3 linked regions of the Arabidopsis thaliana genome follow. The protein of the gene in region 2 interacts with the protein of the main gene of each other region in a pairwise test. Each region holds a gene or a part of one and is shown on either strand. Other genes may lie near its edges. The genes, in order: NP3, TES and FU.

Region 1 (6,256 bases), about 13 Mb from region 2:
GATATGGACTTGTCGACAACGTACACAAATCGAAAAATTCACATGTCCTTCTCTTTTCTTTTTATTTCGGGATTTATAAGTGTATCTACATATGGTCAATACTTCAATCAAAAACGGTCCAAACACTGATAAAAGAGGAAAGCACAAAATCTAAATGTTGATTATTAATAGATTTGGAAGAGAAAATCAAGAAATCTTTAAGCATGAAGATCTTCATGTTTCTCTTCTCTCTTTTTTAAAAAAAAAATTTGCTCAGCTTTTTTTTCTTGACAGCCCATCCTCCAACCAAAATTTTGAATTAAAAACTTTGGTCTAATTTCTTATTTTTATCTTTTTGGTGCATGAGTGATTAACTGACTGCTCATGTAAAAGGAAATAGGGTAAACTTTTTTTTATAAGACTAGTTTTTTTTATACTTAAAACAAAATAACCATACTCGAACAACACCACAATTCACAAACAAGTTTTTAGATGGTTGATACGACCTTATAAGTCAGATTTAAGATATGTATACATAATAATAATAATAATAATAATAATAATAATAATAATAATAATAATAATAATAATAATAATAATAATAAATAATAATACTATGAACCGTTGAAGAACTATCTACATATATCATACTAGTCATGAAATTACCCCACCAACAAAAAAAAATACGAAGAAGTAATTTTGAAACATAAGAAAGAAACATACAGTTTCTCTTTAGCCGTTCACTATCCTTTGTGGCCTGATAATGGAGTCTTCCCTCCTGCACCAGCGTGTCGCAGATTCTCTGCAAAGAGTTTTACTATTAGTAAACAAATGCTTGTACAAATTTTAAGTCATTTTCTTCAAATCTTTAGTCTTGAAGAAATAACACTTACCTCGATGCCTCTCAAGCTCTTCATAGAGTTCTTCTTCCCACTTCCGACGTATCTCTGAGAAACTGAGGAAGAAGGAAACATTAACACCAAAGAGAATAAAACCAGTTTCAGGCCTAACACCAGTAACTTAAGCACGAGCTAACTCACCAACGGCTATTATTTACTCCCTTCTTGGTCGACTCGTTGACTTGAGTTGGTTCAGTTCCTGACTGCATCACTCTGCTTGTGTTCAGTGTACGTTTGGAGCTTTTGAGTGGGCTGGGCATAGCATCACTGATTGCTGAGAGTCGTCTACTCGGAAGTCGTTTAGGTGTCTTGCTTATACTTGGTAAGTTTGGTAAATTGTAGATATTGGTGTCTCCAAGTGCACCTTGGGGTATTCCTGGATTCATAGCATTGTGGAATTCTTCAAGCAGAGGGGTCTGCAACCTTTTCAAATCCTGAGCCTTGACAACACATAAAACGACAAACGAGTAAGTGACTAAGACTCAGTATCATCACAAAACCTCATGTTGGTAGCCGAGATGCATTTAAAAATTCCAGGCAGACCAAGCAAAAAAGAGCCACAGTTGCAGGAGAGATGATTATGACTATTGGAGTATTGAAAATTGAAACACTATACCACACAAAACATGTAAACAAGAGTCCAACGTCGCAATGTGCATGTGTTCAACATTAACCAAGTTTAATACTGTTTAGTAGCTTTAAAGTTTCGAAATTTCATATTTAGCAGGTCTTTTAAGTTAGTAAATGAATCTGAGAAAACAGGAATCATGCATAATAGTAACTGAATTCTCACCCATATACTACAAAAAGGCCTTACCTTCTCATCCAAAAATGATTTTATTTTCAACTCTGTGCCTTTATAATCATCCTCTGCAACGGAAGAGCCACCAGCAAATGTTAAGCTGGTTTCCTCATCACATGGAACTCCAGTTTGGAGTTGAGAAGCTTGGTAAGAAAGCAGGTTAGATTTGCTTTTCATCACTTTTGGGCTTTCATCAAACTTGCAAGACCAGTTATCCGTGGAATCACACATGGGATTAAAACTCTGTTAAAGTCAAAAAGTTCCTTTCCACTGTCAGTATAAGTACTGTAATCAACGGACATGTTTTAAAATCTGGAGGATAGACTTATCACCTTGTTTAAATCGGTGGACTGTGACAAAACATTGTTTCTGACTGATTCAATGTTGCAGAGATCATCCATATCGGTCTGACAAAGGTCATCAGAGTCTCCATCTCGCCAACCAAATCCTGAGTTATTTGACTTCTGTGGGTATATAATGGAACTCCTCAAGCTTCCCAGTTCACAGACATCCTTCAAGCCTGAACATGTCGACCTCCTGATCAACGAATTTATTCTGGAACAACAGAGGAAGTAAAATAAGAATCAAGGGATCAAAATCATGGATAGTGAGAAGATTGAAACTAGAGCTGCAAGAAAAAAACTTACGAACTCCGAACATTCATTCCTTGAGTAGTTATTGGGTTTCCACATTCCTGATATATTAGAAAGGAGGTCAGAAGGTTGAAGAACCAGAAAAAAGTTTACTGCATAATGTACTAACCGTAAGAGAATTACGGTAAGCTGGATAAGGTTCCTGGCGCTTTCCAGTGACAAACGGGTGCTGCAAATGTTAAGAAGCTGTCAGCACTATGAGCAACAATAATAACTTAGTATTGTGCATTGAGAGTAAAGAACATTTTCACAATTGTGAAATGGAGAAGATATGTTATTCACAACACCTGAAGCAATTCGGTTGCAGAGAGTCTCAAGCTTGGTTCTCTGAAAAGATAATTTCTCTTATTAATAGAACAACAGATATAGATGCTCTCTTGAAATAGAATGGTGGACATTGATCTTTACAGGAGCTATCTAGATAAAGACAAAAACGAACTGGGGAAAAAACTTATGACTTACTTGTGTAAGCATTTCATTAGAAAGTCTTTAGCCTCTGGTGAGAGGTCTTCTGGAATTGGAGGATGAGCTTTTGTTCTACCAATATGAAGGACAGCAGCAAACTGAAAGAAAAACTTTTTAGGTCTTCTTAGGTTTCTAAAATAAAAGACAGCGTCATATGCATCAACAATACTGGAAAGTGTCCTTCACCCAGTGACTCTTTACCTGCTGATACTGCTCGCTCCAGGGAGGCTTCCCCGTAGCCATCTCAATCACAGTGCACCCAACACTCCATATATCAGCAGAGCTTCAGATTAAAGAAGAAGGTCAGAATGAAAGTTGCAATACACATGGAAAAATAGATGAGAACCCATTCCCACTACTCAGAGCATGTATAATCTATTATCTTACAAAAACTAAGGAGATGGGGAGAAGAAGATAACTGGTAGGGTATTCTTGAAATACTTACAAGCTATGACCAGTCTGGAGAATGACTTCAGGAGCCATCCAATAAGGCGTCCCCTTCATAGATTTGGCACCATTTACAGTAGCCTAGAAGCATAAAGTTCACAAAGTTTTAGAGTACTGAAGAGAGAGGCAACATATTGAAATATGATTAAAGAGAAAGAGAAGCGCAATCATACTAGCTCTACAACTTTCTTGGAAGCACCAAAATCTGCGAGTCTGATGCAACCTTTGTTATCGACCAAAATATTTGCCCCCTAGGAGAATATGACAAGAGTTATAGCGGAATTTTGAGAAACCACAAGCATATCACATGTTGGAAAGAGGAAAGTACCTTAATATCTCGATGCATGATCCCATTGTTGTGAAGATATTCCAGACCAAGCAGAAGTTGCTTTGTGTACATAATAATCACCTATTTAAAAAAGTTAAAGACACAACATTCATCGCCAGCGAAGCTCAAATACAAGATTTAGCAAAGTTCAGGTGTAGTCAGGACTTACAGGCTCAGGAAAAGATCCAAACTTCTCCAACAAAGATGATATTGATCCACCAGGAACAAACTCCATCAAAATATTCAACGAATCACTCTCTCTTACAGTACCCAAGTATCTCTGCAAAAACAAAGATAATAAGAAGAATGCATGTGGAACAGACATTAAACATATGAGAAATAGCTGAATGGATTCGCCAACTCACAACGATGTTCGGATGTGAAAGATTCTTAAGAAGTTGTACTTCTTCCTCAAGCTCTCGGATGTGACCCTAAAACAAGGATTCAAGACCAAAGGAAACCAAAGTTGTTACCAAATTGGTAACAGATTTATCGAAAATTGCAAAATTTAAAAGATAGAGCAATAACTCACCTGAGTCTTCTCCTTTGAAGCACTGCTTGGAGCGATTAAAACCTATTATCCAAAAAAAAAATCACAAATCAGCAGAAGAAATCATAAATTAAAGGCAACTGAAAGTAACCAGAACTAAGAAATTCAAAATTAACCTGTTTAATTGCAAGAAGCTCGCCGGAATCGAGGTTCATTCCCATGTAAACTCTTCCAAAAGCACCGCAACCGATTAATTCCCCTTTCCTCCACCGAATCGACGGCGCTTCTTCTTTTCTAGGAGCAGGAAGGCCTGGAGGCGGCTTAGAAAAGAGCCCAATTCGAGAGCTACGGATACTAGAGTTAATCTTCCCGACGAATCCGCTAAGACCTCCGCCGCTAGTACCATCGTCTCCGGCCAAAGACGACCGGAAAACCAAGGATCGGCGAACCGATCCGAGAATATCCTGCATTTGAGAAGCCGACGGTGAATGTGTAGAGAGATCAGTGAAGATTACTCATGGCTGCTTCGGCTTCGTGATGTGTGGATTTAGGAAATTTCGAGGAGGGAAAGAGAAACTCGATCTGTTTTTCAAAATTAAAAGCTTAGTTTTTGTGATTTTTCCGTTGAAACCCTTTCAATAATCCTAAATATTTTACCCGTTACTTAATGGGCCTTCTTATTGGGCTTTTTCAGTATTGGAGCGCATAAAGTACTTCCCACGTGTAAAATATCCAGATTTGTGTCGGTCGTTGCATAATCTTGTCTTTCTCCACCAAACTCACCGACAAAATACAGTATTTTAAGTACGTCCTATCATGACATCACATGCCATAAGCGTCAAGTTTCAGAAATTATAACAACTAATCTTTAACAAAATTTATTCTTGATAGTCTAAAGGAAAGAGTGTTTGATAACTCATCAAAACATTTGATATCTCAAAAGAGAAAGAAACAAAAGGAAGAGTACATGAAAATGACTAAATAACTAACGAGACCAATACCAAAGGTGAAGCCATTAGACTCTTGTTTTGTAGGAGTAGCTGTAGAATAGCTTCCTTCTGGTGTGTTGGTAGTGAGGACTACAACGATCCAATCATCTTCTTTACCAATACCAATCCCTGTAAACTTGGAATCGTTCAAACTCATTGAGTATTGTGACTTGGTGAAGTTTGTGAGGACGAGGTTTGATTCTAAACGAGGAACACATGCAGGCATAATCGAGCCGTCTCTCGTGTCTGAGACGTTCAAGTGGCATTTTGCTAGAATCTGAGGGTAGTTTGCGAACTGTGGCTCAGTTCCAGGTACTGTGGCTGAGCCAGTGTCGTTGGTACAAGGTTTGTTCTTGAATTGGTCTGCGATTTCGTCAGCTAGGCATTCTGCGTTTTCGTTCTTGCTTAAGATTGTTAGATTCTGTGTTGTTCTGTAGCTGTTGATTCCTGTGAGAAGAATGTCCTCTTCATCTGCAACTCAGAAGACGCTTGATTAAAGTCTATATCATTTGCAGAAGCATATTCACAATCTCTAGTTAAAGTAAATTTTTGTTCTTTATTTGTTATCAAGAGAAGGAAAGCAAATTATACACTTGAGAAAGTATTAACCTTTTCAAATAAGTTCAACTTTCTCATGATTGAGATCTATGGAAGAACTTTTAATTGAAGTGAACAGATCCTAACTCCTAAGAGATTTCAGACCAGATCTAAAGATCCTGAATAAACACTATAAAGAGAGACAGAAAGAGTTTCAAGAACAGAGATTTACTTCAACAAGAAAACAATGGAAGAAAGAGAGGAAGTTACCGGTGTCGCTAAGAACAGGGCGATTGAGGCAGAGGAGTATGGAGAGAAAGAGAAGAAGTGGAAGCTTGTCGATCGCCATTGAAGCAGGTTTCTAGAGTTCTCAAATGATATTTTGATGGTGATTGGCTTATATTAATTGAGAAAGGAGAGTGAGAGAAATGGTTACTTCGCTTTTACTCATAAAGAGTTGTTTGATTCTGTTCTGCTTTTCTTGTCAGCTCGATTTTGACGTTGTGCCGACAATTTAAGGCATTTTTAACTAATTCGCTTGGTCCCTCTCATCCTATACGGCATCGTTTCTAATATAAGGATAGAGGACAAGAACAAGTTCCAAAGAGAAGGCAAACAATTGACCAAAGTTCTTGAAAACTCAATGTCAAGTAATCGATTTGTTATT
Region 2 (7,783 bases):
CGTTATTAGTCCTGGACATTCGGTTTCAGTTCGCTTCCATTCGGTTATCAGTTTTTCTGGTTCTAAAGCTTAGTATCCATTCGGTTATTTTGAAAGTTTAGTTCGGTTCTAGTTTTTTTGGTTTTAAAATTTTGTATCCATTCGGTTGTTTAGATTGAATATTTTTGGATATTTTGGTTATTTTTGAATATTTTCGGTCATTTTGGATATTTTTCGGTCATTTTTGGATATTTTTGGATATTTCGGTTATTTTCGAGTATTTTTACTATTATATATATATTTTTAATTATTTAGTCTAGAAATAACTAATATTTTAAAAATATATTTATATTTCGGAAAGTTTCGTTTACCCGAAATATTTCGCTACGTATCTATTTGGTTTCAGTTCTTTCGATTATAAAATTCAGTATCCATTCGGTTATTTCCAACTTTCGGTACGATTCGGTTTAGTTATTTTTGTTTTGGTTTCGATTCTGTACAGTCGGTTCAGTTTATTCGCCCAGACCTACCCGTTATATCGAGTAATATAGAAACATTTACCAATTTAAAGAATCAACAGAGATTAGATGATCATATGGTTAGGATTTTAAAAAGAGGGTTTTCACAGGTCGTGTGAATCACACTCTCTATTCAGCATCAAAAGAGTTTTGAAGTTAACGATTTACAAACAGAGAAAAGTAGACGTGTAGGATTTATAGGAGGGTACAACAGCTAGAGATGCAACAAGTTGGATATGAAGTTCCAACCCATCATCCAAGTCTTCTTATCTGAAGGAGATGCAAAGTTGAGCTCAAACATTTCTTTCCTTATGGTCTCTCCCGAGTCACAGAATCCGACAAGCTTAGCCACGATCTCCGCACTCTCTCTCACGTGTTGCATGTTGTGAGGATCTGTCCAGAGTTTGTTGATGAACTGTTGTCTCCTCTGTTTTCCCACCGGCGGGACATCCCATTTCAGGTATAGCATCTCTCTTTCCTCTGCTCCTAGCTTTGTGTTTACCCGTTTCGCCAAATACTCTCTCTCCTGCTTCAAAGCTCTTATACTGCAGCACACCAAAGACATATATATGCTAGTGAAAAATGGTTTTAACTCATAGAATTGAAGAAAAGGAAAGCTCTTGTACTACCTCGATGCTACGTAGCTTGCTGGTTCATCACCAAGCAATGCAGGACTCGCATTCCCAAGCTCAGCCAAGTGCTGTTCGAGCCATGTCAGCCTGCGGAGCTCAACCTCCATGTAGATTTGATCAGCTGGGTCTCCTTTGAATAACATGTAGAATTGTGTTCTGTGAATGATTGAAATGTGGCACAGATGCCATAACATTATGATTTGCTTTCTCTGCTCTTCAAAACACAATGGCCAATCCATCTGAGATTCATCGGTTGCATCGTACTCCGAAGCAGCGCCTGTCTCGTTTGCCTCCAGTTCTAACACCTAACATGTACAAGCTTTTTAAGTTACTGATTACTGATGAACAAATTTGTAAATGAATGAGCATAAGTCACAAGTGTAAACTGACCTGGCAAACAAGCAGCTGCTTCTGGTATTGAAGCTTCGCCACACGTTCTTTCAATCCAGTAACATAAGATTTGATATTACGTATATTCTCTTCGGCAGCATTCTTATACATTCGATTCATTCTCTTAATATCGACTGAATTTGCTTGTCGTGATACAGGCGTTCCTTCCCTTGACTGTGTACGACATCGGTTATCATCCCTCTTTGGTGGAGTAGCTCCAAAAGACACTGGGGCTGAATTAGCAGACACAACATTGCTCTCAGGATCCTTATTTTCAGTCCCAGAAAGAGGTGAACATGGTCCCCGGATCATATGCTGTAGGTTAGGACTATTACTTAAGCCGAAGGGAAGAAGTCTCTTCTTTTTCACCTGGGTCCTGAAATCTGGAGTCTGTTCATCTGTCTGAAAAGACGAGACAAGCATGTCAATAGTGTTCTGAACACACTCTAGCTTCTTCTCCAAAGCTGCAATTTCTTGAGAATTCAACCGATTTATTTCTTCCTTCAGGTTGGCTTTATCACCAACTACAATTTCCTCAGTTAAAAGGTTGCTCTTCTGCATGTCCCTGATTTCTGACAGCATTTTCGCAACTTTTTCTGCAGCTTGTTGATCACCCAGTTTATGGGATGTCACTTCTTTGTGAATTAGATCCAGTGCTTGGTTTGCTTCTTCACCCAACTTCTTTTGATGTTTTTCAAGCAAACGAATTTCTTGGACTAGCGCTGTTGGATCCGCCGAAGTTAAAGACTGCCTCACATTATCCTTTCTCCTATCACGAGCTGTTCTGCGGCTTGACGGAACAGATTTGCTTGGAATGGATTCCTCCTTTGTATGGTATGAGAGACACCTTGCCACTTGAGAAAAAGGTTCACACTCACTTGATCCCTGCAACCAATTATATAGGCATGTCTGCATAAGGTTGAAGTTATCCCAGAAAATTTTGGTATATCATATTAGCAGCGCACATACCTTCCGCTCCTTTGCTTTTCTTTCTAGATCAAGTTCAGACTGTGCAATGTCTCTCTGACGCTTTAGCTCTTTCATTTCGGATTCCATCTGCCATTAGTTAAACATGAATGAATAATTGCAAGTGATAAAAAATTCAAGTTGTTTTTGTTAATAAACTTAAGTTCACGTCCCATATGGTTTACCTAGTCTGTGGACTCCACATTTAAAATATTCAGAAGAGATAATTCAAGATGTGAATTCTAGTTCTTAAAGTCTAAGTCATACCTGTTGGATTTTCATCTCTTTCTCAATTAACAGAGACTTTAAGCAGGTGGATGAACTGGGCTCCGGGCTTCTTAACTCTGACTCGAGTTTAGCTACTTTTTGCTGCAGATGTTTCAGCAGCTTTTTTTCTGAGACAACCTACGACAGAAAATCAACTAAATTCACATCCCTAAATTGAATACCAGCAGAGGGGTAAACTTTCTATCAAGAACAAGCAAAACCGTTTTGTGATTCATCAAACACAAAGAAGATTGAAGCAAAAGGAGTAATGTTAGTGGGAGAGCGACAAAAGAAGGCTTTGAAAATATATCTCACTACATCATTACAGGTAACGCGATGCATTTTGTATTCTTAATTCATGGCAAGAGCAGAATAGACATGCAGGCAGATAATTGCATATGATATGCTCACTATAGGATGATGATTGCTACTCAGAAACAAAACCACATTTGCAATGAAAGGCCAAAGAAAAGCTTTAGTAAGCCAAAGACAAAGCTCTATACAATCATCCTGGTTCTGCAAAACGAAAGACCTCTACAAATATTTAACTAAGTGACATACCATGTTTACTTTAGCGCAATTGGTGACTTCCTTCGCACTCATGGCAAAAGAAAGTGTCTTTTTTGTCTGTTCAACATGACTCAGTGCCGGACTAATCGTACATATAATTGCTGTTCTAGCATTCCCGCCAAGTGAATTTTGCAAAATTCTTGTCAGCTTTGAGTCTCTATACGGCACGTGATCCCTTTTTCTTCCAGAACTTCAACCAAAATAACAGAAATAATTAAAAACTTTAATGTTTTGCTAATTTCTTAAGATGCCCTACAGGTGAAAATGTTCATCAATCTAAAAGGTAATTTAGACATGCCAAAGACAATCATGGTGTTCAAACTAGTGTGCTTTCTGACCTCAGTTTTCTGATCACTGTAGTAAGTGTCAATAAACTACGGTTAATGTGGCTTCCTTCCTTCAATCTTAGACCATCTGCGTTTGTTTGAAAAGCACGTTCGCTTCCAGCAAGATCAACAAGATTCTGCACCAATTAAAATGTCGTCAATACCAAGTGAAGCTTCAACCCAATGATAATAAATGACGTACCAGAGTTGCCATGAAAGACTGCACACAGCCTGCTATTTCCCTGAGACTGCTATGGATGGTCTGAATATTAAAAGCAGAGAACATGAGAAATTATGGGAAGTGGTTACTTTTACTGTCTAATGGTAGCAAATAACTAGGCAAAACTATCTTCTCCATGTTTAATAGAATATTAATTCAATCATGCAGCATATCAGATAAGTATAGATCATACCAGCCGAATAATCTGATGCGATCTTGAACTTTTGTCGTTTAAAGCAGTTTCACCTACTTGCCTTTGATCTGTAACAATAAATGGAAAATCACATAACAGGAAATAAAATGATGATATCATATGTCTCATTAGTGATTAGTGAAATAATTAGTCATATTTTATATATGTCATCTACATGGTTCTAAGGCTTTGCTAAACATTACTTAGAATACTATCACCATCAAATGCATAAAAAGATATAGAGCATCTTAACAGGTGATAGAAGAATTACCTTCACAAATGCTAATTAAATGCTGTAAATGTTGCCTGCTTTCTACCACTTCCTCCACCAGATTTTCCACAATGGTTCCTTTCTGCAATATACACAGCATTCTTATACTGGCCGAGATAGTTCATGAGCCTTGACTTAGTGTTTCCGACCCTTTACTTACCTCTGGATCATCTAACAGTCTAAGGGGCCCAGTATCACGATTTAAAAGGTCAACCACGGTCTCGTTATAAATCTCCAAAGCAGATACTTTCAAGACAAAGCTCCTTTCTTGAGTCTACATAGATTTCAACAGATCCATGAGAATAGAAAAAGAACATATCACTTCGTAACAAAACCAAAACCAAAACACATCCATTTGATCACTCACTTTTCTTATATGTTCGTATATATCTTTAACAACACTTTCAGTAACCCCCCTCATTGTAAACGTCTTGCCACTACTAGTCTGACCATAAGCAAAAATAGTTGCTGCAATAGATAGAGACAAGAAATCACATATCCACAAATAACATATCCTTAGATAATGGGATTTTTTAGATTTCTGTGTAGTTACCATTTGTTCCTGCTAATGCAGATAGTGCAACGTCCCTAGAACCACCTTCATACACCTCTTGAGTTGCACAAGTTGGCTCAAAAACTTTATCTATAAGTACAAAGAAGAAAAAACTTAAATGAGCTATATAACAAAAATGGAAAGAAGAGAAGACAAAATAAGCAATCGACTAGATTCTAATAAAAAATACCAAATGAATATTTTGTTGGAGCCTTGTCAGGATTCGGATTCTTAAAGACGATAGTCTCATCATCGGGACATTCCCAAGCAATGAGATCATATTTGGCATGTTCCCTCCAATTTAATGGTCTCATCCGAACAGTGACAAGAATCTTCTCCTCTGTAACTTTGGAACCACATGGAGTATAAGGATTGGACTTATCTATCTTACTTAACGGAGTTCTCGGAGGTCCCATCATCTTCTACACACAAAATCGAAACCAATTTTAGAAACTTATAAGACCTAAACGCTACAAATCTACTCTACATCTGTAGATCAAACACAATTTCTTCTAAATCTAATCACCTAATCGAAGATTTTCTTTGAGAATCAGTAATCGTAACTGTTAGATTGTTCAGAAATCCATCTATGGAAACTAGAACAACCAATACATGAGAATCCAACATAATAGTCACCTGAAATCAAATCCAGAATAGGAAACAAGAGAGAAATTAAAAGATCGCTTACAGAGAAGAAGGGACTTAACAGAGGGAACACGTCGGAGAAAGAAAACGCGGCGGTGGTGGTCGACGACGGACGGATGATTCGCCGGAGAAAATCAAATCGATGAGAAGATGGTGGAGATGATTAGGGATTTGTTTTCGCAGAGGCAAAATCGAAAGCAGAGAATGTGTAACGGAAACTATTTTCTTGCTACTTTCTTCTTCTTCGTCTTCTTCTTCTTTTTACTTTGTTTTTTTCAATTCCCGTTCTCTGCGCAGACCTGAAATTTTTTGAACTTTGAACGGTCAAAGATCAAGGGTTCTTAACGAGCCACGTGTAAGATTGGGATTCTACATCGAACACAGCACTAACCTATACGACGTATCTTAACGTTCTAAGAAAAGTGCATCAATGTGTACGTTAATGCCAACCAAAACGGGTTTATTGGTACGTTATGGTTTACAAGCAGAATTTCTCAATCCGAGAGAGCAAAAAACGACTGTGTTGATAAATTGGGTCAAATGAAGAAAAGAGAAACATGGGCCAGCTAAAGATTAAGCCCAATACTAAAGCGACGTCGTCTGAGGCACAACGGTCATATGCAAACGACTAGAAACAACAAACACAGGAAGCACGAGAGGTGATGAAAAAGCTTGTACGGAGAGAAAGTTAGCGATTTTTTGCAGCCCGACACAGGATGATGATATCTGTCCTATCTCTAGGGTTTTTCGAGTTACCCCATTCTCTCTCACGTCTCGTGTATAAATACTAAATGTTCTGTTTCCTTTAGCTTCCTTCCTTTGCTTTGTTGTTACTAATTCTGCTCGTTATATTGTAAGTGTGATTAGTGTTAAATTTTTAGCGTATTTTTTCTTTCTAAGTTGGGATTTGTTTAGCTTGTTGCGTTGCCTTTTTCAGTGTGATTAATTAGTGAACAATGAGGTTAGCTAGCTTTTAGTTAGGGTTTAATCCTCCTTTTAGCTTTCACATTCTTTCTTCGATTTAGCCACAAAAACTCATCCACATACACGTACATAACTGGTCCTGAGCACAATAAAGTGAAACATGTTAGAAAACATGGATGATTATCCATCTTTAAAGTAGATCATATGACCTTATCTTATCCTTATATATAAGTCTTACTCACCAAGTTACTTTATCTTTAAGACACTTACTCCCCAAGTTTTCTCCTCCTATATATATATCTACGTTGTTTCATTGTGAAATCATATAGTATAGATCAACAATTTTACTATAATATGAATATTTATATACCTATTATTCAAGTATTTCACTATCATGAACACATACAACAACATTATATGATATATTAATATGTAGTTATATTACTAATGTATTTTGAAATTTGTTTAACTTAATTGTAACAAACAATTCTTTTTTTCATATATTCTTTCGTCATCTAGTACACCAACCTATCATGATATGCTAGTAATTTAAGTTAACACTTTAATTATCTTCCCTTGCATATAGCCATATAGAGTCTCGTATTTTTGTGTGGATATGTCTAATGTCTCGGATGACCATTACGTGAAAAAATTGTATATCAATGTTATCAAGTTATCAGACCGCACAAAAATAAACAGAAAGAAGGTCATATGATAAATCATATTCACATAACGTAATAATAAGAAAATATCCAACTAAAATTATTAAATTAATATGAGGTTAGATAGCAATTATCTAAAATACAATACACGTAAATTTTTAGCCATTATGGATTAATAACTATTGATAAAAAAATATAAAAATAAGTAAAATAGAATAAAAGTAGTATTTGATACATTATTATGATTTTTTTATTTATTGAATGTTTTTAGAAAATTAATTTTAAGAGTGAGATTAATAGAGAATTTAACACAACAAAAGACTTTTAATTTTTCCTCAATTAGTTTTACTAATTTTTTTATTTAATTAATGTAGAATGACACATGTCATTTTCTTGTGTGATGATGTGTCACTTATATGTAGAGAGTTTTCCAACTTTCATATATATGGGAATAAAAGTTGAAGTGTAAGTTCTACATATGAGTTACTATTTCTTTTTGGTCCTGTCTGAAAATGACTTAGTTCTACTACCGGAGGTTTCCAAGAGCAGTTGTGAATGGTAAATACTGTCCCTATGCTTACTTTGGTTAGACCAAAATTTCGTTTTTAGATTAACCGAAAATGCCTCACTAACACTCTAGATGATCACACGCGCTATGCCGCAGTTT
Region 3 (4,684 bases), on a different chromosome or scaffold from region 2:
TCGAACAGAGACTTTAAAAACATTAAACATCGGATCAAACCTATTAAAACCCTTGTTGAATCAATTTAGGTGTTACATCTTTGAGAGAAACAGTAACCGAAACAAATTAAAAATTTTACTTGGAGGTGGGGGTTTACATGCACGTGCTTTGCATTTCTTCTTCAAGCCTAAAGCAAACGCGGACGCATATAGCAGAGAAGACGTCTGCAATATGCTTTCGTGTGCAAGCAAGTATGATTTTGGCGGTTGGGAAGTTTTACAATCGTTTGATATATATCATGCACGGGTAAATGTATAAACTACCGTATCCATAAATTATTATCATATTAGTCATTTTTAATTAATCGTAAATAAGAAATAAATAATAAATTTAATTAAAATTTAAATTAAATTAAATAAACGAATAGTAGCAAACATAAATTAACTGTTCGGTTGATGGACGTTAACGTTTCGTCATCTTTTAAAGATATATAAATTTGCTTATTTTATTGTGAATTTGAAACCATTTCCTTTTGCTTAAGATTTCTTAATGATATCACTACAAAATTGATGAGTTTAACATCAGTTTAAAAAAAAATCTTAATATCATTTTTAAAATGATGCTCGAATTATAGAGTCATTTTAAAAAGAGATACTAAAACTAGTGAAGGTAAAAAATATTTAGTATCATTTTTTCAAATGACACTATAATTCAATCTTAGAACATGATTGGTTGGGATGTAAAAGATTTATAAAGCCACTAAAAAACCTACAATCAATATTGAAACAATCATGTTTTAACTTTCCTATTTTTTTCTCACACCCCAAATACTATATATTTATATATATATTTTAATTATTTTGGCTGTAAGTGCAAGTTTTTCTACAGCATAACTTTAAGATTTTTAGAAGGTCTATATTTTTTTTATTTTTTTTTTCACTTTATTTTTTTATTTTCTTTAAAAATATTACTATATTTTATATATATATATATATTAAATTTAGTTATATGGATATAAATAGTAGGTAAATACCTACTTTATGACATATATAACTCACATTGATAATTGGGAATAATATTATATAAAGTATAATTTACCAATAATATTTTTTTATTTAAAATACATACTATCAAAATCTTATTTCTACAACTAATTTATTTAAATAATTATATTATATCAATAAAATATACATCCTAATTTTTACAACAATAAACCCTACGACTACAGTCATCACACCTACATCAAAAATTTTATAGTAATAAATCTATAACTACATACCGACGAACCAATCACCCACTTAACATCATTTCTTTTTGTTAGTATCATTTCTTAAAACGTTTGTATAGATATTGCTAGGTGTCACTTTGAAACGATTAGAAAATATATAGTTTGTTTCATAATTTGAAATTGACGTTAATTATTATAATATTAGTTATAAGTTTTTTTTTAATGTTATGAATAATAATCGGTGATTTATGTGGAACAGTGGAAACAATATTTTATTTATAATCAAAATAATATTTTAGGAACCAATTTGGAAAATGATAAATAATTTATATTTTTGAGTTCTTTTGTTTTTAAAATAAACCGGAAATTACGACTTGTGGTTTGTTTTTACTTTTTTATAAGGTTTGAGAGAGAGAGAGAGAGAGTACACACTACTCTGACTCAAAGATTTTTCCCTCTTTTTGAATTTCAAAAGTTTCCGAGAATATCCAAACGCAGAGTTTATCTCTCTCTTCAACCATCGATCCAACGGATCTCTCCTAGTTTCACCGCCGAAGACCTCCTCCGCTGTTTCTCGTCGCCGACTTCCCAGTTCTACCATCTCCGGCAGCCACCACTTCGCCTATTTTACGCATTTTCGTGAGCCACGGTTCAATATTCTTCTTTACTATCTCAAATCTTCGATTTCCCCGTTTACTCGCCAATCAGGTTTAGGATCTGCATTTCAAGCTTAATTTGGATGTTTCCAGTTTTTCGATTCGCTACTTTTTGCTTATGCTAAACAAGAAATCGGAACGGAACCCTAGTTTAGAAACTAGCTTTTAATCGAATTAGACTGAATATAGTAGACTCTCCCTCAATTCTGCTTATTTGGGTCTGGGTACCGTCATTTTACCGTTTGAAGCTAAAACGGTGCTTTATTTGACAGATAAAAAAAGCCAATCGTGTTCAGATATGGGTGTCGAGGATTATCATGTGATAGAGCTTGTCGGTGAAGGATCTTTTGGGAGGGTTTACAAAGGAAGACGCAAGTATACCGGCCAGGTAAATTGTTGCTGGGTTGTTCTCTTTGTTATCATCGGCTACTTAAAATCAGCTAATCAATTCTTAATTTGGTAATTTTTATCAGACGGTGGCGATGAAGTTCATCATGAAACAAGGAAAGACTGACAAGGATATACATAGTCTAAGGCAAGAAATCGAGGTTAGCAAGTTTCAGTCCTTAATTGCACTTACCATCAACTTTAATCCCAATCAATTTTATGGTATTTGACCAACATTATTTCTTTTATGCCTCAGATATTGCGGAAGCTCAAGCATGAGAATATCATTGAAATGCTCGACTCCTTTGAAAACGCACGAGAGTTCTGTGTCGTCACTGAGTTTGCCCAAGTACTTTTCTCACTGTAGATTGTAGAATCTAAAGTACTGATTTATGAAGCATATAGCTAGACTTATATGAAATAAAGAATCACCATGGAACACCCAATTTTACAGGGTGAATTGTTTGAGATTCTTGAAGATGACAAGTGCCTTCCCGAAGAGCAAGTTCAAGCAATCGCAAAGCAATTGGTAACACGTTTTGCCAACATGGCTCTTATTTCTATATCTGATTATTAAGACAATTTTGAAACTTCTTTAAAATCCAGGTAAAAGCATTAGATTACTTGCATTCCAACCGTATAATTCACCGTGACATGAAGCCACAAAACATTCTTATTGGTGCTGGCTCTGTCGTTAAGGTAATATAACATTCCTTTTGCTGCTTCCAGTAATTAAGTTTGAAATGCTGTTTCTATGCTTCCCACACACATGAGTTGTTCATATTCTTGTTTCTTAAAGATAAAATTTAGGAGAGAATTATCGTTACAATACGATTCTTCTACTTTTTTCCTCTTCTTATGAGTACCAGATTACGTGCTAACTTCTTGAAAATTGATTTATGAACCATGGATCTTTCCGTCTATGATTATTTCAGAAAACTAAGTTAATCATGTGAGTACTAGAAGAGGATACGGCTAGCCAGGAATCTCATACACTTAGCTAAATATAAGTAGAAACATAAGTATTTTCAATGCGGCTTGATTATATGATTTCTTTAACTTCTCTTTGCCATCAACTAACTTGTCTCCCCTTTGATTTTTCAGCTATGTGATTTTGGTTTTGCTCGAGCTATGTCCACCAACACTGTGGTTTTGCGATCCATTAAAGGTTAAAGATCTTTAATTTCCTTAGACGTATTAATGAGTGAATAAATCAATAAGTCTCTCCTTGTTATTAATCCAAAATATCACATCAGGCACTCCGCTGTACATGGCACCAGAGCTTGTGAAAGAACAGCCATACGATCGCACTGTCGACCTGTGGTCTCTTGGTGTTATATTGTAGGTGGAGAAACTCATCTGAGTTGTCGTACTTCAATTGTTATTGTTATGAAAGCTATTACATCTATAAATGTGATGATTCTGATGGCTTTTCTTTCATAGTTTTTTGTTTTCTGTATTCTTTATGTTATCCACATTTCAATGCACTTGATATGGTTCTAATTAATCTCTTGTAATACATCAGGTACGAGTTATATGTAGGTCAGCCTCCCTTCTACACCAATTCTGTGTATGCTCTCATTCGTCACATTGTTAAGGTATATCAATATTTTTTTATTTTTCCATAGTCTATGCTTAAAGTATGAGCTAACGTTTTAGTGAATCTTCAAGGATCCTGTCAAATATCCTGATGAAATGAGTACTTATTTCGAAAGCTTTTTGAAAGGATTGCTCAACAAGGTGATATATTTATTTTTTCTTTAAGTTGTCCTTTTTACCATTTATTGATATGTTTGAGACCATTGCTGGACTGGGTTAAACTGTTTTTCTATTACTATGCGAAACAGGAACCCCACAGTCGATTAACCTGGCCTGCTCTTCGTGAGCACCCTTTCGTTAAAGAAACACAAGAAGAAGTTGAAGCCAGGGTAATGGTCTGATATTGATGACTTATACTTTGCAGCTTGAGTCCAATGTACAGAGCATTTTGTTAAAACTGTCTTTTTCATGCAATGTAACGGATCTCAAATTAAAACATGTTGTTGGAATAATAGATCACTAAGAACATTTTGAACGCCTATTCAGGAAATCCATACTGCAGTAGTTGACAATAAGGCAGCTTGGATGCTCAAAGGAAATGGAGGGCAACAGAGAAATGGTTTGAATCTCTTCAGTGTGTGGTTAGAATCTATTTCTTAATTAATTTTCTCCTTTATTAAATTTATAGTGTTAAATGTCACAGAAAAGTGCGACTCAGTGACCCTGGTTGAGGACATGTCTGCTACAAAAGGTCTAGCTGACGTTCAGTCAGATATGAAGAGTGCTGTCAAAGTAAATTCTCCACCCACTGAGGATTTTGTGGGATTCCCAACCCAAGAGGAGATAAAAAGTTCAGGTAGTGGGACTTTGAGAATCAAAAGAGTTATCCAACAG

The links.
Region 1: the proteins of TES (region 2) and NP3 interact in a two-hybrid assay, tested with the Arabidopsis thaliana proteins (one study listed by BioGRID).
Region 3: the proteins of TES (region 2) and FU interact in a two-hybrid assay, tested with the Arabidopsis thaliana proteins (one study listed by BioGRID).

Annotation. Positions count from the first base shown.
Region 1 is NC_003074.8:1,818,173-1,824,428, forward strand, and holds NP3 (NPK1-related protein kinase 3), read right to left. Parts: upstream 4,687-6,256; 5' UTR 4,534-4,686; coding exon 4,240-4,533; intron 4,148-4,239; coding exon 4,106-4,147; intron 4,005-4,105; coding exon 3,939-4,004; intron 3,854-3,938; coding exon 3,743-3,853; intron 3,655-3,742; coding exon 3,574-3,654; intron 3,497-3,573; coding exon 3,419-3,496; intron 3,327-3,418; coding exon 3,244-3,326; intron 3,082-3,243; coding exon 3,000-3,081; intron 2,897-2,999; coding exon 2,796-2,896; intron 2,661-2,795; coding exon 2,621-2,660; intron 2,503-2,620; coding exon 2,443-2,502; intron 2,375-2,442; coding exon 2,328-2,374; intron 2,236-2,327; coding exon 2,013-2,235; intron 1,924-2,012; coding exon 1,696-1,923; intron 1,319-1,695; coding exon 1,020-1,318; intron 935-1,019; coding exon 873-934; intron 782-872; coding exon 723-781; 3' UTR 560-722; downstream 1-559. Other genes in the region: AT3G06035 (Glycoprotein membrane precursor GPI-anchored), read right to left, coding at 5,000-5,523, 5,860-5,938. UniProt on the Arabidopsis thaliana protein: Involved in cortical microtubules organization and stabilization by regulating the phosphorylation state of microtubule-associated proteins such as MAP65-1.
Region 2 is NC_003074.8:15,188,950-15,196,732, reverse strand, and holds TES (ATP binding microtubule motor family protein), read right to left. Parts: upstream 5,948-7,783; 5' UTR 5,922-5,947; intron 5,875-5,921; exon of another isoform or gene 5,830-5,874; 5' UTR 5,574-5,829; exon of another isoform or gene 5,482-5,573; 5' UTR 5,305-5,481; coding exon 5,076-5,304; intron 4,976-5,075; coding exon 4,886-4,975; intron 4,801-4,885; coding exon 4,700-4,800; intron 4,607-4,699; coding exon 4,493-4,606; intron 4,415-4,492; coding exon 4,333-4,414; intron 4,130-4,332; coding exon 4,062-4,129; intron 3,911-4,061; coding exon 3,851-3,910; intron 3,786-3,850; coding exon 3,661-3,785; intron 3,513-3,660; coding exon 3,314-3,512; intron 2,891-3,313; coding exon 2,753-2,890; intron 2,576-2,752; coding exon 2,489-2,575; intron 2,405-2,488; coding exon 1,520-2,404; intron 1,435-1,519; coding exon 1,127-1,434; intron 1,043-1,126; coding exon 712-1,042; 3' UTR 565-711; downstream 1-564. UniProt on the Arabidopsis thaliana protein: Probable plus end-directed motor protein that functions in the NACK-PQR (ANP3-MKK6-MPK4) MAP kinase signaling pathway, which is essential for somatic cell cytokinesis, especially for the cell-plate formation and its expansion.
Region 3 is NC_003070.9:18,604,901-18,609,584, forward strand, and holds the start of FU (kinase family with ARM repeat domain-containing protein), read left to right. Parts: upstream 1-1,610; 5' UTR 1,611-1,916; intron 1,917-2,136; 5' UTR 2,137-2,162; coding exon 2,163-2,252; intron 2,253-2,337; coding exon 2,338-2,412; intron 2,413-2,507; coding exon 2,508-2,600; intron 2,601-2,705; coding exon 2,706-2,780; intron 2,781-2,857; coding exon 2,858-2,950; intron 2,951-3,355; coding exon 3,356-3,419; intron 3,420-3,507; coding exon 3,508-3,592; intron 3,593-3,776; coding exon 3,777-3,849; intron 3,850-3,922; coding exon 3,923-3,991; intron 3,992-4,098; coding exon 4,099-4,179; intron 4,180-4,336; coding exon 4,337-4,409; intron 4,410-4,493; coding exon 4,494-4,646; intron 4,647-4,684. UniProt on the Arabidopsis thaliana protein: Plays a role in conventional modes of cytokinesis in meristems and during male gametogenesis but also acts in nonconventional modes of cytokinesis (cellularization) during female gametogenesis.